Linked DNA regions of Lepisosteus oculatus. The protein of the gene in region 1 interacts with the protein of each later gene in a pairwise test. Links are inferred from orthologs where the notes say so. Each region holds a gene or a part of one and is shown in the gene's direction. Other genes may lie near its edges. The genes, in order: kctd6a, ctnnd1 and grb7.

What was found.
Region 2: the proteins of kctd6a (region 1) and ctnnd1 interact in binary tests that used the Homo sapiens proteins (3 or more experiments, as listed by UniProt). The two-hybrid records come from large-scale screens. The link is inferred for Lepisosteus oculatus from reciprocal best matches to the Homo sapiens genes KCTD6 and CTNND1.
Region 3: the proteins of kctd6a (region 1) and grb7 interact in binary tests that used the Homo sapiens proteins (3 or more experiments, as listed by UniProt). The two-hybrid records come from large-scale screens. The link is inferred for Lepisosteus oculatus from reciprocal best matches to the Homo sapiens genes KCTD6 and GRB7.

The regions. Positions count from the first base shown.
Region 1 is NC_090699.1:56,362,236-56,372,505, reverse strand, and holds the start of kctd6a (BTB/POZ domain-containing protein KCTD6), read left to right. Parts: upstream 1-4,228; 5' UTR 4,229-4,885; intron 4,886-5,504; 5' UTR 5,505-5,600; coding exon 5,601-5,627; intron 5,628-10,270. Other genes in the region: pdhb (pyruvate dehydrogenase E1 component subunit beta, mitochondrial), read left to right, coding at 66-351, 740-850, 1,198-1,289, 1,729-1,870, 2,573-2,718. UniProt on the Homo sapiens protein: Probable substrate-specific adapter of a BCR (BTB-CUL3-RBX1) E3 ubiquitin-protein ligase complex mediating the ubiquitination and subsequent proteasomal degradation of target proteins.
Region 2 is NC_090701.1:41,499,659-41,509,928, forward strand, and holds the start of ctnnd1 (catenin delta-1), read left to right. Parts: upstream 1-4,561; 5' UTR 4,562-4,978; coding exon 4,979-5,016; intron 5,017-5,214; coding exon 5,215-5,341; exon of another isoform or gene 5,342-5,346; intron 5,347-10,270. UniProt on the Homo sapiens protein: Key regulator of cell-cell adhesion that associates with and regulates the cell adhesion properties of both C-, E- and N-cadherins, being critical for their surface stability.
Region 3 is NC_090723.1:3,853,700-3,863,969, forward strand, and holds the start of grb7 (growth factor receptor-bound protein 7), read left to right. Parts: upstream 1-4,852; 5' UTR 4,853-5,544; intron 5,545-6,776; exon of another isoform or gene 6,777-9,016; 5' UTR 9,017-9,226; intron 9,227-9,506; 5' UTR 9,507-9,647; coding exon 9,648-9,678; intron 9,679-10,270. UniProt on the Homo sapiens protein: Adapter protein that interacts with the cytoplasmic domain of numerous receptor kinases and modulates down-stream signaling. Promotes activation of down-stream protein kinases, including STAT3, AKT1, MAPK1 and/or MAPK3. Promotes activation of HRAS.

The DNA.
Region 1 (10,270 bases):
AATGTGACAACTGGTATAAAACTGTCAAATGTTGACATGATGCCAATTTATTGATTTCTTTCCAGGCTGGCTTGAGGCCTATTTGTGAGTTCATGACCTTCAACTTCTCAATGCAAGCCATTGATCAAGTTATAAACTCGGCTGCCAAAACCTACTACATGTCTTCTGGTATACAGCCTGTCTCCATTGTGTTCCGTGGACCTAATGGAGCTGCTGCTGGGGTGGCAGCCCAGCATTCCCAGTGTTTTGCAGCTTGGTATGGGCACTGCCCTGGTCTGAAGGTGCTCAGCCCTTGGAATGCTGAGGATGCCAAGGGTCTGCTGAAATCGGCTATTCGAGATGATAATCCAGGTACTGTAGCTCTAGGGCATTAATGTTTTGTCCTCTTTACTCCCTCATTGGGCAGACTTTTTTTTTTAGGACTTTAATACTATGTTAACATGCTGTAAAAAAGCAGTTTGGTTTATACTCTTCAGCATTTGATATTAAGGTGATTTTTTTTTAGACTTATTTCAAAATGAAACTGTTAAAGTTGGCTAAGGAAATCTAAATCTCATTATGATAATCGGGATTGGTGGTTTATAGACCCCACCCTGAACTACATACAATGAGGGAAGGAATAGTCAATTTTAAGTGGCCTACAGAAAAATCAAAGTACTGATCTTTACAACTCCCAAAGGTCTGCCTGCCTCAAGCGCATAGATGTGGAATTTAAAATTGTGCCTTTCCTCTCCGTCAGTGGTGTTCTTGGAAAATGAGATGATGTATAGTGTACCGTTTGAGATGTCTGAAGAAGCCCAGTCCAAGGACTTCCTCATACCCATTGGAAAGGCTAAAATAGAAAGACAAGGTGGGTGCAAATGAAAACCCTAATTCTTGCTCTATAGGGGGATTTTAAAATCCATCTCCAGGTGGAGGGATAGTCTTGTAGTTGGAGAACATTCAACTTTAATACAAATTGAACTGTAATATGGGTTAAAATGTATGGAGCAACCTGGTTAGCAGAAGCTCCAGGGTTTGAGTTGGAGGTTCTCAATCCTGGTCTTGGAGAACTATGGTCCCAAGACTCTTCAGTAAAATCTAAAACTGGTCTAATTGCATGTTCTAAAGTTTAATAGAATTGGCAGTCCTGTATTCCTTACCCAGGGTTTGAAGATTTTGGTAGACTGAATTAATCTAGTTTTTTTTCCCCCTCAGGATCTAACGTTACACTAGTTTCACACTCTCGGTATGTGGGTCATTGTTTGGAAGCTGCAGCCGTTTTGGCAAAAGAAGGTATTGAGTGTGAGGTAAGCCATCCATGCTTTGACTACATGAAAGCCAGTAAGGTCTTAACTGCATACACTCTAGACTTGGTGTTCTACAAACATCTCCTGCCATTTCAAGGTCTCCTCTGTGAAATGTGGAACTCAAGTTAGTGGTGGATTTAAAGATCTACTTAATTCCAAATTTCATGTTGCCCTCTTAAGCCTAGGGAAGATGTGGCCATTGCTGAACCCTAGTCCTCAGCTGTGATATGCTCACGGAGTTAAAGATGGTCTTGGTGTCTGCCTCTTGTAAGGCATGGTGGTGCTTTGACCAGTGGGTATGAAAATAGCAGATGTACAGGTGTTGTAGCAAAGTGTCTCCAGCCCCCTCCCTGCCCCAAAAAGGGATCTTGGTGGGGAGCAATTACTGAAGCTACATGTTAAGAGAACAGTAAGTGATCTACTGTAATGGTCTCTCCAGGTCATTAACCTTCGCAGCATTAGACCTCTGGATATGGAGACTGTTGAAAACAGTGTGAAGAAGACCAGCCATCTAGTGACTGTAGAGGGGGGATGGCCACAGTTTGGAGTGGGAGCTGAAGTTTGTGCCAGGATCATGGAAGGTAACTTGCTCATGCATTCCTACAATGCAAAACATGGTGTGGATGTTTCATTTCTCTATAGGGATCTTAAAAGTAGCATGTGTTTTTTTTTTTTTGACCACTCTAAATGTGGGGCTACATGTCCTGAGTAAACCCAGAACTGCAGTTTGTGTATTTCTGTGAGGAAATTGAGCCACCCTTTATCCTAGAAGGGAGTCACTTGGCAAGAATTAGCATGTTGTAGCTTTTTAGTTGCAAACAAAATAATTGGGTATGGCCATTGTGCCAGATGTACACTCCAGATGAAGGCAAGTTTAGACTCTCTCCCCTGGCTAATGTCTGAAACAAGTTGCCAAATTTCTTTTTGGAAGCATGAATGAATCTTTTGCCATTTCGCCATCCTAAAGATGTTTCCACCTTGGATCCAATGTGATCAAACTTAATTCCAAAGTGTCAATGCTGCTTTTAGTGGTAACTGCAGCCACCTGGGTCTTGCATAGAAGCATATGGGTGGCTTGGTGAGGGGAACGGCCCTCAATTTAGGGGTTTGAAGTTGGCGAGTTGGTACCATGGAATTTTTTTTTTCAAGCAGAGTTGCAGTTTTACTTGGGCTTTGAAGATGTGTCCAGCATTGTGCAGCCATGTTAGCTCCAACTTAATCAAAGCTGCCAACTGTACAGTTCTGTATAATTGAATGTGCTCAACTTTTTTTTTTCCCTTCAGGTCCGGCCTTCAACTACTTGGATGCTCCTGCCAGCCGAGTAACGGGGGTAGACATCCCCATGCCCTATGCCAAGATCTTGGAGGACCACAGTGTACCTCAGATAAAAGACATAATATTTGCAGTGAAAAAGACCCTGAATGTCTAAGTACAGTGACAGACTTCATCTTTGCATTGTTTTGGTGACACTAGCACTTAGTACATCTTGTTCTTCTGTTCTTTCAAAAAGAACATCTTGTAATATGCAGAAAGGACAGTTTTAAACAGTCCTGGTATGTCCTTTTGTATGGATTCAATCTGTACTCTTGCTTCTGTGCCATTTTGGGTTCAAAACCTGGAGTCTTCAGTGTTTTCTTGCACCATATCTATCTTTTTCTCCTTAAACTATTTAAGCGCACAGGTTAAAGGTGTGGTGCTGGCAAACTAAAATCTTGAACAATATGGGGAAAAATCAAATTAAAAGATGTTAATGCTCCACATGGCTTCCTTTTGTTTTATTAAGTGGGTCCAGTGATACTAGAGAACAAGGTCTAGAGTATGTTTGTTCTGAAAATGCTTCAAGGTGTGCCTTGGGGTGGGGGGTACTTTCAACAAGTTATTTCACCACTATTGTGAAGCTTTAATTACAAAGGCAAATGTCACAATTTACAGCTAGAACTTGACAAAGCATAATGTTAAAATGTGGCCATGTGCAATAGAAACTGTCCTTTTGTTGGGGGGGCAATTTTCATTTTGGGTCCAAGTTCCTGGAAGGTATTGGCTCTGCACAAATGAGGTGATAAAGGTGTTTTAGCCTGCAGCATGTGTACATGTTCAAGCAGGCACCAGTGCATGTTGCTTAACTTGGATTTTAAAAGTAATCCAAGTTCTACAGACTTCTTGTAATTGGTGAAATACTAGGAGATGAAGTACTTGTTAAGGTTATGTTGGCTGGTTTAACCTCCGTACTTGTGGCTCTGAAAGCCGTGTGAATGGGTACTTCATTCTCATACCAGAGTGGTGCAAGATTTAACAATATACAGGTATGCCCCTGAACAAGCAACACTTCACTAATTATCTTCTTGGCAGGTGTAATAGTAATCCTTCTGCCATGGTTTGAGAGACCTCTAAAGGTTTAAATGAACTGTATTCACAGGTGGCTGTCAATTCTATTTAGCTTAATATACTTACATGTTCAAGTATGAAAGAGCTGTTACTTTCACTTTAAAGCCTTATATTGTGTCCAAACTACAAGTGATCTTTCCATTGGAGTCCTTTTTTAATAAAGCACCCAACTACTCTATTTGTTGTACAAAGGTGCAGTGAGACCAACTATATGCTATTATATTGCCTTTTCAGAAAAAGGCAGCATTGGGGAAAACGTCATGAAATGCCCAATGAGTGTTATAAAGTTGCATGTATATTTTAAGCTGATCTTGGAAAATGTGGCAGGAAGACAAGTAGACTGAAATGACACCTGAGAAATAGTCCCACCTTGGCTGTCATTAAAAGTGGATCTTTGGGCCCCAAGAGAGAAAGGATTGAATGAAGGTTGTTGTGAACCATTTCAGTTTTTAATAAGATGGCAAGTGGAAACTTCCACCACGACCAGTAGCTTAAATCATAATGGGGAGATACATCCTACCTCCCCCCTATCAATCCCAAAGTAAATTCCTCTGACGTTTTCCCGGTAATGTTAACGGTTGCTTAGCTGCTGTGCTGATGAGCTCATTCTGCCTCCTACACAATTTCAGATGAAAGCAGGAATAGACTAAAGGGTATGGAGACAAGCTACATTACGAATTCAACGCTTTTTTTTTCCACAAATCATGCTAATGAAAAATAGTACTTTTGTTAATGCATAGGAAATAAAAAGCGAAATTTGTTTACTGCTTTTTTTTTGTTAAACACGTTTAGCCTCCAACGCTCCTACTTAAATGTGCATTTTCATCGGAACTTCTCCGTAGCCTATCAAGTGGAAGAATATTAGTGGTGACGTGCTGCACAATAACAGACACCACGTTTCCGGTTCCTTCCGTACCTTAGATGTTACTTGGCGAAATAGAGAACGCTAAACGCATTCCTCCGAAAGCGCTTCGAATGTGCTTGGATTTTCTCTTTTTTATGAGCAACACTTCCTGAGCTCCCTCTGGAAGCAGAAGAATACCCGATAAAAGACGTAGAGAAAGTAATTGCTCGTCCCTCTTCTGTTGCTGCAGTGGAACAGGCGGAGTAACACTGCTTCATTCAGGCTTCCAAGTCCAACTTCGCGGAAATCGGTGCAAAGTGTCGTTTCCCTTATTTTGGGAGGACAAATATCACGGGTCAACAAACGGGTAAGGATGGAAACGCGGCTCTGCGTGAACGTTTCGCCTGTTTAATTGACACAGCGTGAGATAAAAAGATCCCCTTGCTTAATGACTTAATGATTTGCTTTGCAGCTGTCCCTGCGGAGGTTACGTTGCATCGGCATCTTTACAGTTTTCAAAAGTGGTCTGCAGAGCAAAACCAAACCAATACAGTATCCACTATTACATTGCATTATGCGATTAATCGATCATTTTTATATGTCCAGATCCGTGGATCATTTATTATCCATGTCGTGTCACATCCAGTATAGCGAATACCCTTAGCTTGAATGTGCAGTCAAACCTTCAGACAACTTTCACCATGTCCGCGCTTAATAATTATTCATGCAATATTCCAGTTTCACTTTTGCATGGCAGGGCGACATGGCGATAGATTCCAAACCCATTCTCCTATTTTAATGTCCTATAATATTTGCGCGTTTGCCTACACGTTGCAGGTAATGTCTGTTAACGGGATAACAAAACAGACGATCGTCTGTATGTGAATCATCCATTCCATTTAACCTATGCATGAATACTCGAGAGGGATAAAAAAATCCGTTAAGAATCAACTTTAGTCGAATAATTACGTTTTTCGCTGGTGCAGGCGAACAGCACAAAGACGGAGGCATTACACGGGGGAAACCAAAAATATTCAGCCCGACATCTCCGTCCCTGGGGAAGGAGCCAAGCGTTGGAGCAGATGGATAATGGAGACTGGGGGTACATGGTGAGTGAGTGATTAATTCTGAATGTTCCCCTTATGGTTAAGTGTGAAAATTATATTAAAGTCCACCATGACTAGAACTGGAGTCAATCCTGATTTCTAGTGTAAACAGAGGGCACGTTCACTGGATGGATACAGGTTAGCTTCCCAGAAGAGTATGTTGTGCAAGGGTGCAAGTACCTGCAACGGGACTTTGAATGCAAGCTCCATGTTGGCTGCCCTTAAGGATAAAGGAGAATTTATACCACAGAGTATGGCTCCATTGGAGGCTCACTAGCATTCAGTTTGCCATTTCTGGTGTCCTCTGTGTTACTTTTTCAGAAAATAAATCTTTTTAAAACAGAGGAAACCAAGTCCAACACAGCTATATTTCTTAAAAAAGAAGGCTGCAATTGCAGAGTGACATGATGGAGATATTATAAAGCTTTCATTTTTTTGCACAGCAACAGACTGGTCTGATGGTGCTTGGATTGATTTCTGACTTTGCCCTTTAAGCACCGATTTTTTTAAAACGTATTTTGAGCACTGACCAGGCTGAACTGTGTGGACTTTGGTGCTGCTCTTTCTTCTCCGTTCTGCTTTGACTTTTCAGGGCCGGTGAACGGCTTTTAAAACCGCAGATCAGAGAGTCTAGTCAGTGCCTTTGATGTATGCAAATCTGTTACTTATCAGACCTTAAAGCTAATAAAGCTCTTCATTACAGTATGCCTCAGGGCTTACCTGTAGCTTCATGGCCAGAAAGGCTAAAACAATCTTTGTAGACTATTGACCTGTAACGCAACAAAGCGAAAGAAAGCAGTGTTGTGAAAGTAAATGATCCAGTGTTTTGTAGCACAAACGCCTACTTTGGGAACTTAAGTCCTATTGTATTGAATTTCACCTTGATTATTAATGTCAATCCTTCTGTTAAACAATTGTATTTGGATTCATGACTATTCCGTATGGTGAAGTCCTTGCTTTGCCATCTTAGTGTCTGGATATTCAAGTACTCATGCTTGAGTTACATTTTTAGCAAAGGAATCATTCACACTTTTTATTGTGACAGTTTATATGGCAATTCGCCCTTTTGGTCAGTTGGTAATACTGATTATATTTCTAAGAGACATTTTAGACTGATTATTAATTATTATTTATGGGCGTGATAGATCACCCAGACTGCTTCAACAAACTCACCTGCATAATTGTAAGGGTATCCAATGTTCATATGCAGCAATGCTAGATAATTGATTGTTAAAAACGTATGCCATGTAAATTAATACAATTAATTTCTCATTTTCTCCACCTGGCTTCTAAAACATAATTGCCTCTATGGGTCATCTGGGTGAGTGTTACACTGAAGAGATGGATGGAGATATAATATACTATACATGTTTTTCATTAGTATTATATATAGATGTAGCGAAATGGTAGAAACATATTATACCTGAGAAGTTTTGGTTTAGAGCCTATGCAATAAATCGACGATCCTTCCTTGCGTCTGTGAGAGGGTTTGAATTGTTGTGCAGTCATCCCTGGTGAACAACTGGATGTGAGGACGATCTAAAGACGCTGTTTTGTTAACCGGGAAAAATATTGGTAGCAAACGCATATTGCCAATTTGAAAAAGGTACTTCCAAGGCTTCTCACAGTCTATGCTTAAATTTGTGTTTTTAAAAGGAATTATTTTATTTTTTTGTGTGCGCTCCAGGACAAAAAGTCCTGGTCTTCCCCTGGTGTTTTCGCTGATCTTAGTGGTGCTGGTGTTGTGGGTTATCGCTGGGTTCTTTTCTTGTAGTCATCACAGCTGACTAACCCAAACCTTATAAAACAGTCTCGCTGAAGGCACGGCAGGGCTTTGGTCCAGAATCATGCTGCCATAGCATGTCCATTCCTTTGAGAAATCGTTCAATGTAAACTCGCATGTGGACAAATAAATAGAGTGAATTCTGGCTCACAAACAGTTTTGTACTTGAACATCTCTGCTGGCGTGTGCTGGAATTTTTTGTTATGAACAAATTAACCGTGTTTCAGTGTTAATTATTCCATGTGGGCGTTCTAATCTTTCTACTCATTTACAGTGTGTTAAATCATAATATATTGCTTTGCAATTGTAGAGATTTTTTTTTTAGTAGACATTAAAAAATAGCAATTCCTGATGGTTCAAATACTTCTAAAATTAATAGTGTCTCTGATGTCTAGTTAATCTACAGTGTAGTCCAGATTGATTGAAGGAAACATAATTCTTCTGCACAGCAATGTTTTCTGCTCTGAGTAATTTCCAGAGTTGTGTGAGGGAATAAAATAGACTTCTGCTGTACTCATTTAGTTTGGATGTTCAGCCCTCTGGTGTTTTGGCACTTGTGCAAACAACAGTGCTCATTCTCCAGATGTAGCTGTAGGGTCTGAGCATGATTGCAGCTGTGTAACTTGAGTGGCTGCCTTGTTCTGATGTGGCTTTAACAAAAAAAATGGCTTTCCCAAAAAACATTGCTGTTTATATTTAGAAACCCAGATTAAGAGCAGTAAATTGCTACTTTATAATATGTAACACTGTATGTCAATGATGCGCCGTGGAGTATATTTGAAAAGCTAAATACAGGGCTCGGCTGAAAATATGCAAGTCGTGGGAGAGCCAGACAGTCTGTGGGCCAGTTGGTCCAGGTGGGTGTGAAGATACAGAGCTCTCTTTTGTAGAAAATTAGACACTACTTGGGCAAGACAGCCTCAGATCAGAACCATAAATAGCTGACACCTATGACCTTTCTTACACTGAAATCAGCATGAGGAGGTAACCATGGCTGCTGTATCACAGCGCTGGGGTCCTGCGTTCAATTCCTGGGGTGCTATCTGCGTGAAGTTTGTGGGTTTTTCCCATGTTCTTGTGGTTTTTCCACCCTCAATCCATAAACCCAACCTGGTAGGTCGATTCTGGCAGAACTGGCCCTGGTGCGAGTTTGTCTGTGCCCTGCGATGCACTTGTACCCCGTCCAGGGTGTGCCCTGCCCTGCGCCCACTGCTTGCTGGGATAGGCTCTGGCTTCCCCGCCACCTTGTGTTGGGGGAAAAAGGGCTCAGAAAGTGGAAGGATGGAGGTAATGTAAGTTGCAGACTGCTCAACAGAAGTATGGAGACACTCTGTGTCTGGAATACTGCCTGTGGCCGCTTTGAAGGGAAGGGCAAGACTGACAGCAACAGACTTAGCGACGGGGACAATCTGAAGGGTCAAATGTAAGGGGACACCCGGGAGGGAGGAGCCAGAATGACAGCACATAAAACGGCTTTAGGACCGCTTTTTCAAATGGGCCGAGGTCTGACAGTGCTGTAGGCTGTGCTCAGCTCAGTCTGGGAGGTCATTATTGGCCATTATAACCAAATGCGGACCAACACCTGAAGAAAAGGGTAAAAATCTTAGCAGCAGTGTTCTAACAGTTTTTACGCACTGGAGTGTCCCGTGAGCTCAAATGTCAATGTATTTGGGGGTAAATGTGTTATGTGAATGTCTGTCTTGCAGCTTGTTATTATTTCATTTACAGTGGCATAACAGCATTTCCACTTTCTCATCACAATGTAGACAGGAGCTAGCTATTCGAATTCAGTAATTGATTCCAGTAAATGATTCAGTAATTAAATGCAGTAGTTTTTGCCCAGATCCTACATTTGTTTTGTATTCTGCTTGTAGAAGGTCATATTTTATACAATGCCACAGAATACCATATTTAGAGAATAATTACTGAAACAAGGGTTAATCATTGGCAAAACTAAATAGGAAATAAGATGTTATGTAAGATTGGTAGTCTGTAATTGGTAGTTTTCCTTCTACCAAGTGGATATTGCATGTAGTTTGAGAGACAAGATTATATTTTTATGAACATCCTAGAGGATATATGGACCATGTAAGTGTTTAACCTGTTTGTTACTGTCATTTGCGGGGTTAACATACAATGTTTATTTATAAAACACTCTGAAGTTGAGGCAAAAATAAATTATTGATAAATAATTAATAGTAAATGATAATGGTAAGATGACAAGTCTCATTTCTGAACACACCAGTTCAAATCTGTTATCCATTAATTCTTTAAAGTGGAATGATAGAAGAAAATGAATTAAATAGCAACAAGATATCACATTTTGTTATTTACCTACTCTAGGGCATATTTTGTTCACAGCTGGGGATGTGATAATGTATACATTACAGAGACTTTAAAACAGGCAAAGCATGCATTTGTCATGTATCCAGAGTTTATTATTGTTGTTGTCTGATATAATTTAGGAATTTTTGGAAAGTTAAATCAATAAAGCCTTCTTTATTCAGAAAAATATGTTCTTGATACACAGCCCTGAAATCCTCCTACTTCATTAATACAAGGGCCAAGTGTGTTTTAGTGAGTTTGACAGTTTATAAATGCTTAAAATGTACTGTATTTAATTCAGCTCAAGTCTCCAAGTTCCTCCTTCTGTTCTCTGGACACTGAATCATTTTCTGTGTTGACTGGCATTGCTCAATGATTCGTCTCACTGAGCCGAAGGACTTGGAGAATCAAATAAATGATTCATCCAGGGACTTGTTGTTAGTGGGATTCACTGAAACGATTCGTTCAAAAAGAAGGAATCGATCACAAACTGCCATGCTGGTTTTCCAGCATGATCCATGGATAATTGAAGCTGTTA
Region 2 (10,270 bases), on another chromosome or scaffold:
TGGGAAGTTACTTTCAACGGCACAAACCGGCATAAACGTAGTACTAACGAATGGGACCGGTTTGGTTTCCCTACGACATTGTAGAGGGGCTGAGTGACGTCACGACCCCGAAGAAACAGGGCGCTATATCTCGGAAACGAAAGCAGCACAGACGCTGCTTTCTACTAGACGCTACTAACCGGCACAAACGAATGAGGTGGGTTTCACCGTTTGTGCTGTTTGGAGGGGGGGTCAACTTCACGGAGTTACCTCAGCGTGATTGCTGTTAAACGCCGAGTTGCCGTGCTATCTGTATAGGGTGTGTCACTATGAGTAGTGGTAGTGGGAGGAGGAAGTGGAGAATAAACTTCTCTGTCACACACACGTGTTCATTAATATCGGACTGTTGAGTATTTCAGCATTTTTTCGTATTCAGCTGCTGCCTTATGCCCTTGTCTGTAATTGTCCGGCTGCTGGGTGTGCCGAAGCCCTGGAGCGGAGCGGGCTGGACCGTGACCGGGTTCCCTGCTGCAGTGTGTTTTAGATTACCTCTGACATCACACAGGAGGAGCCTGTGCGGACAGGTGTCAATGAGCTCCGTGACTCATGTTGACTCGTTTTCCTGCAACATCGTGAGAGAATGATCTGTCATTTCTTCCGATACTTAAAATACAGTTGTTACAGACGTAAATAAACGGCCATCCGGTATGAGAAAAGTATCGGGAGTTGTTTTTAAATCACCTCTGCTCCGACAAATTGGTAGATGTCAGATGGCTACTAGTTAATTCCCTGGGGTGGAGCAGTGGCTCTGTGGCTGAGGATCTGTGCCTGTGGAAGGTTGCTGGCTCAAATCCCACAGCTGGCAGAGGACTCCTACTCTGTTGGGCCCCTGAGCAAGGCCCTTAACCCCAGCTACTCCAGGGGTGCTGTATAAATGGCTGACCCTGCGCTCTGACCCCCAGCTTCTCTCCCTGTCTGTGTGTCTCATGGAGAGCAAGCTGGGGTATGTGAAAAGCCAAATTCCTAATGCAATAAATTGTATATGGCCACTAAAGTGATCTTATTATTTTTCCAGCCGTGTATCAAACAAATCAACATTCCTCAGGGCTATGGCCCTGATTTCTTTTTAGTACTCATCAGGGATCCATTCCAGGACCTGTGGGAAAGTTCTACACTGACAGGCTGAAGGAACTCATACCCTGAGATCCTCCAGTCAGGACAGGAGGCACTGCTTTACACAAAGGGTGGTGGGAGTGTGGAGCGAGCTGGATGAGCTTCTCAGATCATTTAACTACTAACCCAACGCGCTGAAGGGCCTGGCCTTGCTAGTTAACAGTTCTTATGTTCTCACGGTCTGAGCCTGACCCCCCCCCCGCCCCTGCGGACACAGGGGGCCGGCGATGACCTCCGTATCGGTGCGGCGCTGCGGTCGGCGGCCAGTCCCTCGCGCTCCGAGCGGGTCGCCGTGATGTGCCGTGCGCGTCCAGGCCAGCGCGTGACGAGCGGTCACGGCGGTCTGCGGCTGGGCCTCGGGATTGTGGAATGTTAATAATTTCCGTTTCTAAACAATTCCACTTCCCCTTTCCTTTGTGTGCCTGTTCCATGAAGGATGACATCACCCTGGCCGACTTCTCCCCCGAGGGGGCTGAGCTCCGCACACAGAAACAATCCGGCCTCACACGGCGCCCGTGGCTGTAGCGCAGGACCTTCACAAGTCCACGCCAACACGCTCTGCTTACTTTTGCTCCTGTATCGCCAGGAACTTGTTGGACTTTCTGAAGAAGCTTAGGCCTCTGTGAGTAGGCCGCAGGATGAGGGACGAGAGGGAGACAGAGGGAGAGGGAGTGTCACTAAGCACTGGACCCCAGGAAAGATGGGCTCTCAGACTCATCACCTGTTGTCTCCTGGGTTTTGCTCTGAACCGCGGAGCCAATTAAACAGGTTGTGATTTGGCTTCCAAAGCCAACTACTAAAAGGTTTGCTCCATTGTTGTGGCATCTGATCTGCATTGGATATAGCACCTTTCATGACACATCATTGCTTTTTACCATGAAACGTGGTAAAAACAATCGAGACACTTGCACACAGATCAATGCAGTAAAATCATGCCTAATTAGGGGGATTAGCGGACACTGCAGAAGCTCCCAAATTCAATTAAAAAGGATTTAAATAGACGTCAGAACAGGGTAAACACCTGGCAGATGATATTCAATGTACGTGCAGATAGGGAAAAATATCAATCCAATTTCTTTGTTGTTCCAAATTGTGAGGACAATGAACTGAATCTCTTTAGTTTTGAATGGGGAAGACTATAAGGGAACTTGATTCAAGTAAATGAAAAAAATTAAAATATATTGACAAAGTCAGCCCAGCGGAGCTCGTCAGGATCTACAGGGAAACAGGAACCAGAGGACACAGGTGGAAACTACAGGGCAGACCATATAAACTGAGAAACAGAGGCACAGAGATTGTGACAGTGATGCTGTGGACTGGAGCCCCAGTGGACACCTGTCCTGAGAGAGCAGAGTGACAGTGAAGCTGTGGACTGGAGCCCCAGTGGACACCTGTCCTTAGAGAGCACTGTGACAGTGAAGCTGTGGACTGGAGCCCTAGTGGACACCTGTCCTGAGAGAGAGCAGTGTGACAGTGATGCTGTGCACTGGAGCCCCAGTGGACACCTGTCCTGAGAGAGCAGAGAGTGACAGAGATGCTGTGCACTGGAGCCCCAGTGGACACCTGTCCTGAGAGAGCAGAGAGTGACAGAGATGCTGTGCACTGGAGCCCCAGTGGACACCTGTCCTGAGAGAGCAGAGAGTGACAGAGATGCTGTGCACTGGAGCCCCAGTGGACACCTGTGGGATAATCTGGGACAACAGGTAGCACTGGGGCTCAGAGACCAGTGAACAGACACACGCTTGTCCAGACTGTAGGAAAGGAGACACAATCCCACAATCCGGCTTCTCACAGCAGAGCCTGTTGAACAAGCCTGTGCATGACCAACGCTAATCAGCACCATTCATTTATCTCTGTTACAGGTGATGATGAAAAGCCACAGACCAGAAGAGGACCCCACCTGATCACAGCTAAACTGCTCACCTGAGGGAGGGCTGCTGCTACAGCACAGTGCCTCACCTCCCTGAGACGCTGCAAGCTACACACACTCCTCCCGGGGCAGGCGTGAGCGCACACCCTGAAACTGGGGAGGTGAAAGCGCCGGCGGGTCGGGCTCCGGCGTGTTGACCGAGAACAAGGGGCCGAGGCGCTCATTTGCATATCGCCACACGCGCTCTTTGACCCCGCGCAGCCAGACTTCCGCCCGCCCGCCGTGTGGCGCTCGTGAACTCTCGCCGACTGCGCTCGACACGCCCCGGACCGCGGGCTGTAATTGTCTGCGCTTAATTAAAGGACCAGGGCGCAACTTCCTGACTGGAGCTCGCCGAGCCTGCTCGTGAGCAGGGCGAGGGAACGCAACACGTCGGATAAAAAAAAGCGCCTTAGCTATTGGTCGGCTCCACACCCCTCCCTTTTTTTTTTCGGGCTAATCTTCCTCCTCTCTTCCCGAAAGAATGATGGGAGGATCCCATTGGACTGGGAGCCGCTCCCAGCTGCCGCGCCCTGGGGGGTACCGTAGTACACGGGGTATGCGCACACCTCTAAACAATGAGCTCATGAGTCTGTTTTCTTATATTCCAAGCGTATGGAATAAAAGCAGAAACACAGATCCTGTACGTATTATTATTATTATGATAATGATGATTCTTATTCAGTCCTGGGAACTCGCAAACAATTCTGGTTCCACTTCCAACCTCTCTATTAAGATGAACATGTATGCAAGAAATACGTCATCAAAACTATCAAACAAAATGAACATCTGGGCTGCTGTTCTGTATTTCTAAATAGGGTATACGTTAATGACACTTGAGAGGAGGCCCAGGCGCTAGCGGGGGGGACAGACGAGCCTCCGGGCGCGCTCCGGTTTTAGGGTGTCCACCTACCCCGGTCGTTACGGTAACCCCTGTACACATCCCCCTCCCAGCCCTGCTGCGCGAGATTCACGGGCTCCAACTTTAACAGGGAGAGTCGACAGGGACACGGAGCAGCGGAAAGACGGGAACACGGACAGAGAAAGAGAGGTGGGGAAAAAGAGGGAGGGGATAGTCCTTTTTTTTTGTTTTCTTTCTTTCTTCCTCGCTTGCTTCCTTTTCTGGCTGGGGTGTCCACACCCATGTAGTCGCGGAGCGGAGTCGGTACAGTCAGACGCCCGAATTCGGCGGCGGGGAAAAACCGTGAGAGAGAGAGAGAGACAGACTCGGAGCAGCCCCGGCAGCGCTCAGGCCCGGGACACGCACTCACGCACGGCCCCGGGAGACACGGCCAAGCGTACACACACACACACAGGCACACTCGAGTCCTCCCCGGGATAGGATTTCGGCGTGCGGGAGAGGACGGCTCCTAGGTAGGTCTCAGCGGCGGCGGCGGCGGGTGGATGTCGGAAGTGCCTGGGAGTCGGGGCGCACGAGACTGAGCGGCTCGGGCTGGCTGGCTGGCTGGCTCGAGCCCCGTCCCGGCAGGCTCCGCTCGAGCGGCCGGGGCGAGTCGGGGCCGCGGGCGGCTCTCGCAGGCGCACGTCTCCTCTCGCACCGGGTCGGGGGGACGGGTTTATTTATTTTTTTAAAAAAAGGCAGACACAAAGGAAGAGACGCGCAGGAGGAACAGCTCCTGACGGTCCGAAGTTTCTCTGCCCCCCCCTTTTTTTCCCTAAAAGCAAATCTGCGCCGTCTCTCCGCTGTGGAGATTTTCGTCTTTTCTTTGCTAACTTGAACGCTGTTGCCCGCTGTCTAGTTATTTTTGTAACGAGCCCCAGCTTTCGTGTGGTTGCGGCGCCCGAGTCCTCTTTTCCAGAGGCCCACTTCCACACAGAAACTCGCTGCGCAACCGCGGAGCCCCAACTCCGGCGTTCTCGCGCGGCTGGGCGGCGTGTCCGGCCGTTTGAACACGTATGCCGAGAGGGAGACGGAGGATTATCGCGAACCGACGGTGAGGGTGGTGGGTGGGGGGGAGGAGGGAGAAAGCTACTGTTGGTAGTGCCCGAAGATGTCCGTCTGTCCCTGGGACACCTCGCCGCTTCAAAATAAAAGCGCTCTCCCTAGCTTGAGTGTGGGCTGTGGAAGGGACTGGGAGGTGCGGCTCCCGGGCGCCGGTCTCAGCCCTGCCGTCTCTCTGCCTCTCGCTCAGCGTGGCGGACTGGGGGACTCGTGCAGCGGGACGTCGCCGCGAGGGGAGAGACCGTGACGCCCAGCGCGAGCCAGTGACGACCGACGGTTCCGGCGCCGGACAGCAGCGACGCGCCCGGCGGGACCAGGTGAGGTAAGGGCTCGGCCCGTCCTGCCCCCGTGTGTGTGTGTGTCCAGGCTGCAGCCGGAGTACCGGGGACCTGGCGGCCCGCCGTGTGTGCGGTTACAGTTGGAGTTTCAGCGCTTCGCCGGAGTTTTCTTGTGGTTTTGACTGACGGCGTCAGGACGGTGTCGCGGGTGGCGGTGGAGCAGAAAGGTCTGCGGGGGTCCAGGGGTGTGGGGAGGCACCAGCGCCGGGGGGGTTCGGGCCCGGTCGCCAGGTGTGTCCTCGCCGGCGCCGCTCCCCCCTCGACTTGCTTGTTTTGAAATGCTGGAGCCGAAACTGCCGCCCGCCCCCCCCACACACACCGCCCAGCATGTCCCGACTCGCGAGTGTGACGCCACAGCTCGCCGCGGTCACCGGTGGCGCTGCGGGCGGCTCGCGAACCGGTTCGGTGGGTCTGTGAGGCGACGTGCTCGCGCACGCACCCCGCCGGAGCGCGAGTGGGTGAAGCGAAGCGCCGATGACCCGGCCAGGCCGCGCGGGTCCTCCGGGCTCGCGGCAGCCCGAGGGATCCCCAGCCCTCGCCACGGGCTCGCGCACGGTGCGCGCGATAGCTGGGAGTTCTCGACCTCTTACGTTCGCATTCTTCGGTGCGCGCGGTTCTTTGAGGGGGGGCAGCTGTGGATCTGGAGCGCTGGAGCTGTGCTGGGGAGGGCGGGAGCTAGCCTGGCCCGGTGCCGTTTGGGCCGGTTCGGGGCGGAGCTGCAGCAGGCAGCGGCCATTACAGCTCACCTGTACCTGCGCCGGGCCCGGCGGGGGCGCGCTCGCTGTCGAGATAAGAGTCCCTCGGCCTCTGCGCTCCCTGCGCAGCCTCGTTATTGAGGCCAGATGTTTGTAGTTCGCTCGTCATCTCGCCTAGGTTTCCGGGTTCAGAGTCCAATAACGCTATTTTGAAATCGTCTGCAGGAGAAAACTGAATCTTTGTGTCCCGCAGTAGAGTTGAGTTTTCATGTGAAACGTGCTGACTATTCATTAATACAGTACAGTCTGGATATTAACACTGCACTGAGAGAGAGGGGTTAATACAGTCCAGACACACTGACTGGACACTCCAGGACATTAACACTGCACTGAGAGAGAGGGGTTAATACAGTCCAGACACACTGACTGGACACTACAGGACATTAACACTGCACTGAGAGAGAGGGGTTAATACAGTCCAGACACACTGACTGGACACTACAGGACATTAACACTGCACTGAGAGAGAGGGGTTAATACAGTCCAGACACACTGACTGGACACTACAGGACATTAACACTGCACTGAGAGAGAGGGGTTAATACAGTCCAGACACACTGACTGGACACTACAGGACATTAACACTGCACTGAGAGAGAGGGGTTAATACAGTCCAGACACACTGAAGAGGAGCGATTATGGTGGTTGAAGTGTTTTTGAGGTCCAGGGGATAAGGGATGCCGGTGGAACCAGTCTGATGTGGTCTGGGGTTGTGGTGGAGGGCCCGGGTTCCCCGTTGAGGAGTTGTGTGTGTGTTGTGGGGGGGGGGGGGGGAGTCAGACTGATCACATTCTGGCTGGTGGGAGATGCTCCCTCTGTAGCTTCTCACTGCCGGAGTTCTGTGGCGTTGTGGTCTCATTGGCCCGGCCTGTATTCCTGCAGGTCAGGTCCCAGCGTGGATGACAGTCATTCCAGCAGCATCGTTGTGTGAAACGTGAGTGTCGCCAGGTTTCAGGAGGAGTGTTGGCAGTAGGAGTAGAGCCGTGTTCCAATGGGACAGGGAAGCCCCGAGTCCAGCAACGCTGGAGCATGAGACATCGGCACCGGGTGGCCTGTTCCCCACTCCCACAACCCTTTGTGTAGGACGTGCCTCCTGGTTTTGGTTTTAAATGCCTGTTGCTCGGGCCTTTGTAAATTGTGAAAGTTTGTGTTGTTTCCGCTTCTAGTCTGCACCGTTCAAGACCGTCTCGATCTGCTTCCTCCGGCCTGGCAGTGCAGGACTTTCCCTGCAGCCCGGGCGTGTCTCGGGTGTTCCTCTCCGGACGCGTTCCAGAGCAGCACTGCCTTCTCTGTAGTGTGGTGACAGAGGGGTTATGTCCCTGTTTGAGACTAAAAGAGGCTCGAGGCTCGGAGGTTATAATCTCAGGTGGGGCTCAGTCGGTCAGGGTAGCCCTGGCCTGACCCAGGACTCGGCGGGAGAGATGACCGCAGGCGGATCTGGCCTTCAGGGCCCCCGCTGGGCCTCGGCAAGGCTCTGAAAACACAGTGGGGCAGTGAGCACGCGCAGACGGGCTTCTTCCCGACTCGGCGTGGCCCAGGAGCGGTGGACGGGTCCGGCTCGTGAGCGAGCCTCTCCCAGCCCCTCGGCGGGGCCCGTGGGTCGGTCTTGCCGCGGCTCTGTGAGCGGCGTGGGGACTGCCGGGCAGCTCCCCGCGGGGCGCGCTAGTCAGCTGGCAGGTCCGTGGTGAGCCGGGGTGTTGCCCGTGCGTCGGTGCTGTGGCTGTCCCGTGAGGGAGGGCTTTCTCGTGCTCTTCAAGCGTGCGTCCTCTGTCCCGCGGGGCGCGATACTTTCCTTGGGGTGCTCCTTGGCTATTCGGGGTGCTGTTGTGCAGCTCCCCCCGGTGCACCTGCGTAGGCGCTGGTATACCCCATCCCTCGCGGTCATGGTTACCGTCTGTCCTCAGGCCGCGCCTGGTCCCCTGTTGCCCCGGAAACGCAGCGGCGGTAACCATGATCGTCGGCAGTGGCCCGTGTGGGGCTCGGCGGTGCTGTACGCCCAGGGGCCTCGTGAGCAGAGGGACCAGCGGGAGAGTCGCGCAGAGGGGGCCGCGCTGCTGCTGCTCCAGGGGTCTCGCACAGCCGCGGTGGGTCAGCGACTCTCTGGACCGCTGGACCTGTGGGACCCGAGCCGCTGCTGGATAGCCGGCCCCGAAGTACAGACCCCACGATGTTGAGTTCGGTCCGGTCTGTGAAAGCTCATCGGACGGCCGTGCCGGAGAGGACACGGGTTTTAATGTGACGGTTTTAGCGTTCGCCCCTGGGGGCTGCTTCCGAACGGTCGGCGAAACGCGAACCGGAGGACACGAGCGGCAAACTCCGGAGCGGTGCGCGTGAATCCGCGAACAGGAGCAGCTGCTTTGCACGAGGGTTGTGGGAGTGTGGAGCAGGTCTGAGCACCCATATTGCAGAAGCCGATACCCCGGTTTCTGTCAAGATCCTCAGGTCAATGATCAGCTAACTACCAGACAAAAAGAGGAGTCAAATGGCTGCCACTTGTTTGTTACCTAAACATTCTTTCAGTCTGCGAGCCGCTGTGCTCAATACTTTCCCCTCTTTCTCCGGTTCCAGTATCTCCCCTGCGTCTCTCTTTATCTGTGCATTCCCTCTCCCTGAGCGTGTCGGAGCTTGCCGGGCGGTGTGACTGCTCACAGGGTTTCCGCACGGTGCGCTGAGGTGGGGGTGGGGCTGTGTGCGCGCTCGTGATCGGGGCTTGTCCTGCCCGTTGAGAAACATACGGGGAAGGAGCCGTGGGCCTGGCTTGCTGGTACACCGCACTGGTGCGCGTCTTCCCTCAGAGAAGCCACTGTATGTACATGCGCACAGCTGGAGTAGAGACAGAGCAGTAGATAGTGCAGATCTGCAGCGATAAGCAGCCAAAATCTGGCCCACTGTGGTTTCCTGTGGTTGGTGAGGTTGCGGATCTTTTCATCGGCTTCGTGCAGCTACGGATGTGCGATTCTCTGCGAGTGCCCTCAAACACCTGCTGTTGGCCAGCACATCAGAGTACAAGTGGAAGAGCCTTAAAATTTAAGAGCTGGAGTAACTTCACACAAAGGGTGGTGGGAGTGTGGAACAAGCTGCCCAGTGGTGGTGTTGAAGCCGATATCTGGGCTCCTGTCAGTGTACAGCTGGATAAGATCCTCCAGTCAGGACAGGAGGCAGTTCTGTACACTGATGGTGGATCAAGCTGCACGGCCACGTTGTTGCTTTTCAGCAAGGAGCTGAAACAAGTCTTTGCACCAGTTGGCCATTAACTGCCCCGCAGGCTCGATGGGCTGAGTTTGTGAAAGTTTGCTCTTGGGAGCCTGCAGCTTCTGGGCCCTGGACTGGGGGAATGTGCTGTGGGAGTGTTTCCTTGCTGTGCTCCGCTGCGGCGCGCTGGTGTTGTTTTTAATTGGTCGATTATACGCCCCTCTTAGTTTCACCGCATGGGGTTTGTTCCCTGAGGTCTGAATGCAATGACACCGAAGGTTAAAGTAGAAGCTGTTGGGATGGAAGTATTTCTGAAACATAATTTGAAACAGCCCCTAGGACTTCCCCAGTGTCCCTGTTCAAGTTCATTACAGGCACTTGTACACCATAGATTCTAATTTTACACCCTACAGAGAGTGCTGACACTGCACTGAGAGAGAGAGGGGTTAATACAGTCCAGCCACTGACTGGACACTACAGGACATTAACACTGCACTGAGAGAGAGGGGTTAATACATCATTTCCTGTTATTCAGGAAGCTGTGAAATTGTTCTAGGGCGGGACGGGGGTTGTCTATTGTTCACTGGGCCTTGCTGCTGATTTCCCAGTGTCTCAAGGACGTGTCAGTGAGTGGCGTTCAACAGGGAGTGAGCAGGGGTTTAGGAAGCGTGGTGCTGCAAGTCCAAGTGTGGAAACGATTGCTTTTTATAAACGGGGTGGCCACCTCGAGGCAGAGCTGTGCGGGGAGCCGCTTTTCTTCTCTGGGGGGCTCCGTTTCCCTGTGACCCCGCGTGCCTCCTGGCCCTCCACCTCCCCGCTCTCCTCTCCGCTCTGTGTGAATCACATGGGCCCTCATGGGTTTCTCACTGTTGTCACACTTCTATTTTTGTGGGGGTGAGAAAATCAGCTGTGTGTCTCATGAACGTCACGCCGTCCCTCCCTCCCTCTTCCTGCCTCTCCG
Region 3 (10,270 bases), on another chromosome or scaffold:
GTTTACTGTTTTTGTTTGTTTTTTTTATTTTTATTTTGTACAGAGTACCTGACTCAGAGGCATCTTCTGCTGAGGATAGGTCTACAGTTGCATTGAGATGCAGAACCTTATGTCATGATACAGTGGGGGTCGGGTTGCGGTTGGTTAGGCAGTTATGGGGAAAGTGGGACTGACGCTATGATCTTATTGCAGTGCTTGTGTGTCTTGCAGAAGGGCACTATTGTGGTAGAGGGCTGGGCTAAAGAAAAAGGTTTGCTACTCTCCTTTCACATTTTCATTGTTCCAGTGATCCTATTTTTATCAAAGAATGGCCCTGTTTTTTAAGGTCTGGTGGCCATTGTTACGTAGTCTTGATTATTATCAATTCGGTATTTGACTCACACCATTGTTGTGGCACTGAAAGAATCCTCAGTTTGCTGCATCATTAGGTTCTGTAGCCCCATGTGTTACACAAGATATCTTTTAAACTTTTTGAGTTGAGCTACTTCAACTTATTGATTGTTGAAATGCTGAAAGCCACGTCACAGATAAAGCTCTAATAACTTAGTTTTAAATTATGCACGGAAAACCAAAAAAAAGTGACCTGTTACTGAGTAATTTGTATGGGGCAGTGATTATGAAACATAAGGAGATGTTAATATCTAGCACAGCCTTGAGCTGTGAAATGAAACTAGGCTCACCTACAGGTTTACGAGTTGTTGTACAGATTCTCAGGTGTGCAAGGAAACCATGTCTCTCTCGAAGCAAGAAGAGTATGCTATAGTTGCCTCATCTCCCTTCGAGCAGGTTGTCTGTTAAGTGATCTGGGCATTAGTAAAGTTAAACGAATAGCTCAGTCATTACTCTGAATTCACAAAACCACACATGTGGGATCTTGTTCAATGGTTTGAATATGATACAAATAATCCTAATAAAAAATAGACCACCTGTTAAGCTCTTTGTTTTTTACAAATCACTGTATAGTCTTTAAAAATTAGAAGGAAAATGGGTTTCCTATACAAGTGCAAAAAGGTCCTATTAGAGCATATAAAGAAATGGAATCCAATTCATTTACTCCCCATTCCTGTCCAGTGTGCTGAAATATGAGACTCATAAAGTCCATTTTCTGCTTACTAAAAGGCATGTCTAAAGAATTTTTGTATCTTCAACCTTGGATGCTCTAAGAGGGACACTTATTGGTGTAAACGGCTAGACAGTTGTATTTCATTGACAAAAAAACACCAAACCTGTATATAAATAACACAACTCAAGAATCCTCTTCTTCCTGGCCATTTACTACTTTAGATTTAATTTGTCAACTATAATGTAGCCATAGTGAAAGAAAAACAGTGATATTTTTTATCTGTAAATCATTATAAATATATAAACATTTAACTAGGCAGATTAATTTACCCTTTTTCGAATGTGAAGCTTTAAGTTTAAAAAAAATCTGTAAACATTGACATGCAAAAACAAAGATCTACATATGTATTTTTTTTCTTGAACTTTCCCTTTGGTTTTTAGTTTTGTTTTTTTTTAACCATCTTGTAACTCATCTGAGAAATGCACTATAATAAAGAGATCTCTATTACAATCAGTTGTATCATTCAAGTCATTTAGCTTTGTATTTCTTGCTAGCGAGCTAGCAGTTTCACAGGGAGCCAGTCTGGATCCTGTAGGATGGGGCTTTCATGTGGGAGGTGTGGTGGCACTGGTCAGCATCGGTGCCTTGAAGCCCTGGGTTCAGTTCCAGACCTGGGGAGCCGTCTGTGCGGAATTTGTTCTCTCCGTGTGCGTGTGTTTCCTCACAGTCCAGAGCTCTGACATGAGTGTGTGCGTGTGCCCTGTGGTGGGTTGGTGTGCCATCCTGCTGCTTGCCGGGATAGGCTCTGGCACCACCAAACCCCACAGCCCTGAATCGGAAGAAGTGGGAGAAGATGGATATTTGGGAATTATATGTGAATGCAGATTAATTTGAGTGATCACATGGGTCACAAATTTCTGGATATAGTGAAGCCTTAAGTAGTTTTCTAAGTGCCCCGCCCCCCCCACAACAAAGTTTTGTCCCTTATTTCATCCAAGAAATGCTTCGATACTGAGAGGCTGACACGAGAGTCTGAATGCAACAATGCTGTGCAGATACAAAAAAAAAACCACTCCAGTGATGCTCATAACGTGTGTCAAGGGGATTTCTTTAGAAACCCGTAAAAAAAGATGCAGTTTTAATTAACGCAAGGACGACGGGGGCGTACCCTGTTTGAATGAAGACCAGCCGGTTTCTACAGGCATCGTTGAAGGCAACCTGTAAGAAACACATCAGGATCTGGAAGACCGGTTTACAGCACCGCGCCAGGGCCGTCACCTCAATGCCTGACCACACAGGACCGCACTGTCGGGAGATCTGGAGTCTGCACTGAGACCGCACCTGTGCAGGAAGAGCAGCAGTGTCAGCCTACAGGCTGGTCAGGTATATCGGCTGCCAGGACGGTGTTCATTAATTCTGTAACGTCTTCATGGGGATAGCGTGACGTGTTAGATTGAAAACCCGTAACTTAAAAAAATAATAATTCTGGTCGTATTTCCTGTGATTTTGTTCGATATCTAAATTATTTTATTTCTGTTTCTTAAATCCATTAGTCCAGAATTGACTTTATTTTGTGCGTTTATAGAATTAAAAAAAAAACTATCTCGGAAATTCAGCTAATACTATCGACCTTGGCGTTTTGTCAGATCCCTGAATGATGCCCCCCGTTGTTAAGAGCACAGCCCCCGGGACGTGTCTGTAGCTTTGTCTCCCTCTACTGGAATTTCTTTGATCGGTATTTCACCAGGTCAAGGTTTGAGCTTTGAGGTTTGGTCAAATTGATCTATCAAGCGCGTCTGCCTGGTGTAACTCGCGCTTCGTGTCGCGAGTTCAGCGTCGCCTCCTGCTCTAGAACCTGAATTACACGAGCGATTCGGTCTCTGTTGACCGAGACATTTAAAAAAATATATATATTTGTCGTTTCTCGCTCGCTAATATAAAAAAAACGCTAGGCAGCGATGCTGTCGGCTGTCTAATAAACGGATCATGGACATTTCAGGAAAATCGAGAGATTTCGACAGCAATCGACAGTCTTTGTGACTGCATAATCATATAAGATAAGACATTAACAGAGCCTTTGATGTTACTGACAAAGTCTTCAAACGGCGGAACTCGAGTGCAGTAGCGCGCAGTGAAAACCTGCCACACCTGAGGAGACCTGTGGGCTCCTCTGGGGCCCATCGTGACCCTGACACGCATCGTCTTTTTAAACGTAGACATTTGATCACTGATTTTAATGTCACTGGCTGTTTACTCAGAATCCCACTACATTTTAAAGTGCACTGCTTTCAGTTTACAATTTGGAACTTAAGTAGCCCTGGATAAAAAAACAACAACAACAGTATTCATATTACAGGCTCTCACTGGACGAAAATTACGGGATGTCCTGTCTGCTCTCCTGTTGCCGACTGCAGTTTTGGGAGCTGTTAATCAGCCTCATCTAGAGACAGTGATCAGTCCTTGTGGATACCAGTGTAGGACAACGTTTTCCTGCGTTACCGAGCACGTAAAAAAACTGGTTCCGGAAGCGTTCCTGCATCGACAGAATGCCTTTAGGAGTATTCCTTCTACACTCAATAACCAGAAAGTCATGTAGACCTTCATTCATGGAGTTACCGAGTGCATGTTATGCTCTAAGAATGATCAATGACGAGATCGCTGTGGTTTGTGAGACAGCAATCTCTTCTGCACCGTGTCGTGAGACTATTTTCCTTTACAATAAATCGTTGGCTTCCAAATTAAAACGATGACACTACCTTATTGAAAGGAGTTATTTAATATATATATTTTAAAAGGCTTCAGCTGCGGAATCGTGCATTAAATAAATCTTGCTGTCTCCTGACTCGGGGAGTTCGCGGTTTGCGGGACAGACAATTTCCTCTGCAGGAGTGCAGTTCGTCTGTTTTCATCCCGGGCGCAGTTAAACGTTCACGTTGTAATACGAATCACAATCGCGTCCTGACCCGAGAGTACCTGCCGCACACCTCATGTTACTGAGATACCGTCTGCAGCTGACGGGTAAATCACAGTAAAATGGGAGCTCTTAATTAGAAGAGTTAGTGCGCCACAGGGACGCGCTGTCTTTTCTTTTTTTTTTAAGAAAAGCGACTCCCAGGGTTGAGAATTGACTAGAAAAAACCGTCTTGGTCAAACTTCCGGAGTGGAGTGGAAGTGTGCCCATGAACCCGCACGGATGATAGCACCCTCCCCACATCACGACCCGCTTACGGGCGGCCGCCGGGGCCGGGACGGGGTCCGGTGCCGAGAGCGCGCACCCCCACCTGTCCTCGCGGGGGGGGGGCGCGCGCGCGCAGTGGCCCAGCTCACCTTGCAGGTGAGCTCAAATCCGGGGCTCCTCCCGCCAGGGCCGGAGCGCCCTTGAGCGGTGACGACAGCGGGAGAGGCCGTGTGAGCGACAGGCGGTTGTTGAGTGAGGAACAGGATCTCCCGGTTGTAGGTAATTATTATTTCCACCGTCTGCTCCGGCAGCCTTTCTCACGTTTTTCCACGGGGTAAGTTCAAGTTCTTGAAAGCGGAGGGAACAAACGTGCGTCATGTATGTTGTTTCTCGGTTCTGTTTTCTAGGACGTTACGGGAGTTCGTCAGCTGCTGCTAGGCTGTGTTTGAGCTTTAAATGGGACAGTAAGATGCTGTTAGCTGACGAGAGAGCGTATCTCCTTTCTTCCTTGTAGGAGACAATGAGAACTTGAGATGGCGTACTATCCTATCCGTTTTTTTTACTCGCGTCTTGGCTTCAAATTAGCTGTTTTCTTCTCGTTTCTGTGTCATTTTGACTGCGGGCTTCTGTGGTGATCTGCTGTCTTTTAAATCCTTGGTTACAATGACTCAGGGCTGCACCGACCGGTCAAGTGTTAGATTCGAAGTGCTCCACACAGGGATAAACTCGTATTTTAATCCTTAGAGTTGTGGACGTTTTTTTTCTCTCTCCTTTAATCTGTGTTTTTGGAGCCTTCATGCTGTTTCCTTAGCGGTAGCTTGTCGATGTACGGAGAAGAGATGCACGCTGTGAAAGCATGCCTCTACAGATTCAAACTCTTGATGCAAAAAAAAAATCCTTGATCAGAGTAGAACAGACAAGTTTAGGTAGGGGTGTACCTCTTTGTCAAAGTTTAATTGCAGTGTTTTAAAGTGATTTGAGAGGCCCGTCTATTGGAAAAGTTAAATAAAAATTCCAACTGTTTGATGGCTTTTGAATTTGAAATCCACTTAAAGCTATAAAAAGGTGGAAACCAATCCAGAAGGAGGTTTTTTACCCGGTTGCTTGCATGTTCGTGTGCCTGAAGAGACGAGCTTGTGGAACCTACCAGAAGTGAGCTGTTCTGAAAGCAGAAAGGGACAGAAAGATTAAGAACAGGCCATCCGTGAGCAGCGAGTGGGAGAACTCTGGGGAGGAAGCACGCAGAAGTGATTAGATGCCAGCCGTTGGTGGCTGCGCACTTGAAGCGATTAAGGGCGTAAAGGTAAGAGGCAAAGCGAAACGTTGTGAAGCAGAGAACAGATGTCTTCTGCTGAAAGCATGGTGGGGTTCCTGAGCAAGCTGCCCATCCTTCTTGCTCGAGGGAACACCCTGGCCTGCTCGGAGAAGCAGATGGATGAAATCACGGTGTCACTCTCCTGCTCGCAGCTGTCCTTGCTGGATGGGCAGAAGGGCCTCATCGCTGTAACGTTTCTTTTCTTCCTGCAAGAGGAAGGCCGCTCCGTAACGCACGGTGAGCGGGCCGTCTTCACGCGGTTGTGCTTGCAGGCGCCTAAGGGAACGTCGAATGTTAAAACGTCCTGCATAAACGGGACATTGCTTCAAGTGCTGCCTTCACCTGCCCCCAGAGGGGTCCCCGTTCAGTCCTGCCTTGAGCAGCGAGGTTGTGCCCTTTGTGTTCGGCGCTGCTTTCGAGGTGCAGGCTGAGGGGGGGGCGAGCTTTCATCCCGGTCCGTGGCGCGCGCCGAAGCTGTCGACACAGGTGTGTGTTTTTGATCCCCAAGGAAGGCACGTGCCGGAGTGCCAAGATGAAGGCCCAGAGCTCGCAGCTGTCCAAGGAACGGATGCTTCCCGAGTCCTTGGCCTTGAAAATGTGCTCTTCTTTCAGGTTTCTTCAAAGGAAACTTTGAACTTTAACTGTCCTGAAGCACAAGTGCAGTTTACGTTGTTTTTTTTTTTTTTTAAACGAAGACACCGTGCATAAGTCTTGGGATTTTGTCTGCTCCCACGAAATAGGTCAGAGGCCCAGTCTGATTTCTTCAGGTTCCTGTGCTGTGGAAGGTGTCTTCAGTTAGTGTACAGCTGATTTCTCATCTGGTCAATGGTTGTCTGATCTCCCAGCTCTCTGTCTAGCTCCTCTCGCATTGCGTGAGTGACATGGGGGGCAGTCGATGTGTCAGTGGGCCGAGGCGCTAGGCCAGCCAGCCGGGCTGCTCTCTCTCTCGCTCGCCCGACTCTTCCTGCTGCTGCATGCTGCATGCTCGTCCATTTTCTGAACGTTGTGCTCTCCATCCTCATTCTGCAGCCCACTTGCATCTGAAAACGAGTGCGTACAGCTGCACATTGTAAATCTGTATTCAAATCCATACTTTTTAGATCTGACTGTTCTCATCATTGTGCTTTAAAACCAGATCAGGAGAAACTATGTTACACAAATTGTTGTGTGAGTTGGGAATGAACTACCCAGACGTGTTGATACTGATACTCTGGCTTCTTTTAAGAGCCAATTGGTAGAGTGCCTCAGATCAGCTATTCGCAGCCATATGATTTTGATAGGGAAGATGGACCCCTCTCATTTGTAACCTAACTTATGTTCTTACAGAGGGCCGTAACAGGTTGACCACTTTGAGTGGAATCTGGCAAGGACATTTCTGGACCTTCTAAGGACAGGATAACCAGAAGACATGAGAATCTCTTCACCCCAAGTCTGAAAATTGTTAATATTCTCTGACTATATTAGAAGTGGATCTGTTAGTCTGAATCTTTGAATATAAGATAAGATCACTTTATTGGCCATATACAATTTATTGAAGTAGGAATTGGTCTTTTTTTGCCCCAACTTGCTCTCCATGAGACACACAGACAAAGAGAAGCTTGGGGTCAGAGTGCAGGGTCAGCCGTTTATACGGCGCCCCTGGAGCAGTTGGGCCCCTGAGCAAGGCCCTTAACCCCAACGGAGTAGGATTCCTCTGCTGGTTGCAGGGTTCGTACCGGCAACCTTCCAGCCACAGGTGCAGATCCTTAGCCCCAGAACATACAGTAGCATTATTTGCAGATAAACCTGAAACCAAATTTGGGGTACATGTTGAGAGGGGTTTCTTGAGAAGGGGTCCCCCAGCCAGGAAATGTTGCCCACCCCTGTCCTTGAGGTTGTGTGGAGGGAGTGTTTTCTGCATGAGGCAGGCTGGGAGTTTCAGCGAGGCGTGCTGATAGTGAGTCAGTGGCCAGGGGTGAGTGAGAGTGCATTGTCTTAGTCTAAGCCATGTTTCATGTCCACACAAAGAGCAGGTTGTACAGCAACAGCTGCTGTCGATTCCACACAACTGAGCTCATCGCACGTACTGATGACGGCAAACAGAAATGACTAAAAAAACACCTCTGCTGTTGCAAAACTATTATTTCCCTTAAGTCAACCTTGCACCTGAAGTGTAAATACAATATTAAATTACTGATGCCAGTAATTACCAGTAAATTATTCTTACTCACTTCAGTGACTGGAAAGAATGCTCTTTGTCACAGTAATTATTAAGTTTCAGTTACTGAACAAATAAAGTTAAGCAGTCTTAAAACAAAAAAACAAGCTTCTGTAATCTTGGTGTCTCCTGGTGATTTCTCAGTGTTAACTGGGGTAACAAGCTGCTACACTAGCAGGAAATTCCCTAAGGCAAATTAAAGTATTCCAGCAGTAGAAATCTATTGTCATCATATCGTGCGTGAATTTATACTCTTGTGTGGGGGTGGTTTTTGGGGGCCTGCTGTGTTTGCTGAAAATTCCAGAGTGTAACATGGAAAGCATTTTTTGCTGTTTTATGACTGAGAAAACAAATTACCCTTTTTGGAAGATCCTGCAACACTTCGTTGTTCTTTTTATTTTTAAAGAAAGTTAATTAGTTAAGAGTGGTTGAGGTTTTGATATATGTCTGCGGAAGAGTAAATTCGTTGCAGTCTGTAATAAGTTGGGGGGGGGAACCCAGTTTCTTCAGTCCACTTTAGGTTAGTGCAGTTGTGATGGTCCCCCTGCAGAGTGCAGCAAAGGGTGATGAGGCTGTATTGCTGGACTGTGCAGAGAGATGTGCCTGAAGGCAGCTGTCCAGCAGAAACCACGACCAGTGCCACTAGACACTTTAACACTCGTTGTCGGTAAATGCACTTTTATACTTACAAAAACCTCTCTTTGTGCTCCGAGGCTACGGCTGCTGGTTCTGCTTGCCAGTGACAGGGCAGAGGAGGAGATGTTGTGCCTTTGCCTTGTCCGTATTGCTCCAGCCCCTGCTTTTGTAGTTTACTCCTCAAAGCACTCTGAACACGGACCACCCTGCAGCCCTGCACCAGAAGCATGAGGGAGCTTAGCGCTGGCAATGCGTGGATCACATTTGTGGAATAAAAATAGCGTATGAATAACGTCAGCACAAGTGTTAAGACCATCAAGTTCAGGCAGAGCATGGAGAAGACTGGGGGGGTCTGTGCACGTGGTGCTATAAAGAGCAGACAAAGGTCACTCAACCTTCCATGTTGTGCTGTGAGGCATGGGGAGAAATCGCTCTGAACCCCCCCCTGGCACTGCGAGGCCTGGTGAAATCGAGGTAACCTGAGGACAGGGGTGAAAGCTGAAACTGGTGCTGTTGTCATCATTGCGCTCATGACACATTAACAATAACAGGCTGGTGTATCTCGGGAAGCGGGGCAGAATTAAAAATAGATGCCATTTGCTCCTAGTATCTATTTGTTCCCGAAAGCACGTGGTGTTCCGGCAGCGGAGTCTAGAGAAAAGCAGCTCGTGCCAGTGCAGCGCAGCAGACCTGTCCAGACTGTGACGAGCAACATGCCCTACAGTTTCTGCTGCAACAAGGTGCCGGGCGCTTCAGGGCAGTTCTCTCAACGCCTCCTTTTTTTATAATGGACCGGCAAGGTGAATGTCGGGCTCCAGAGTGAAAACTGCAGAAAAGGTAGGATGACTCCAATGTTTAGAGCTCGGTCTTCCTTAGTGTATGGTGACAAGTTCTATACTTTCATTTATGCATACATGTTGCAATAGCATTCAAGAGTAAAACAGCGTAGTGCCTTATTCATTAACATTAAGGAGCTTACTCTTTTTGAGTAAGAACTGCAAGGGAGACATGTTTAATGTTGTTCTGCCCTTGCAAAGCTGTGCTGTGACCTGTTGATTCTCCACTGTGACACTGCTCAGGTGAGCCGTCTTGGTAGTGCTGCGTCTGTTGTTTTCAGTGGTGTGGCCTGGCTGTGGTACAAGACTTCTTAGATGGGCAGGAAAAACTCAGACGAGTTGCAGGCTACAGGTGTCCAAAGAACCTTGCGACCATCTGCAAGAAGCCTTTGGATTTCTGAATGGTTTGAGAAGGGAGAGAGATGATGATCCTGCTGGTCAGTGAGCCAAAAGGTGTGTTTTTGTTGGGCATCTGACCAATCGCCTTACTCATCTAGCTGTCCTGTCACTCAAAAGGTCAGTCGGTCACTTCACGTGAATCACTGAGTGCCGATAATCCTTGATTTGCTGTGTCACTGCTGCCTGTGGTTCAGGCTGCTTTCTGAACCCTACACGTTTCACAGAAGACCCCTTAAAAGCAGAGCTTCCCTGAGACTCTGCCTCCCTTGCGTACTTGCCTAGTTTTCTTACTCGGCAGTGTCCCCTTCTATACAGCATCACCATCGCTTCGTCTTTCCCACGCTTTTAAAAAGTTGTGTGTTTGGGATCTAGAATGTGTCATGGGTGCTGCTGATAAAGATTCCCTGCAGAGTTTTTGGTGCAGGTTAAAGGGGAGCTGCAAAGCTCTTTTCATATCTGGGGGTTAGAAAGAATCAGCATTGAGTACATTTCAAACCACAATAAAACTAAAATGTACACAGTGACTTGTAAAACCTCCACTTTACATCCCAAAACAGATGAAAGTCCCAGGTATGTGCAGCGCCATGTTCTGTGATTCAGAACGAAGTTGTAGACAACCAGGCTTGTGAATACATCTCTTTTAATC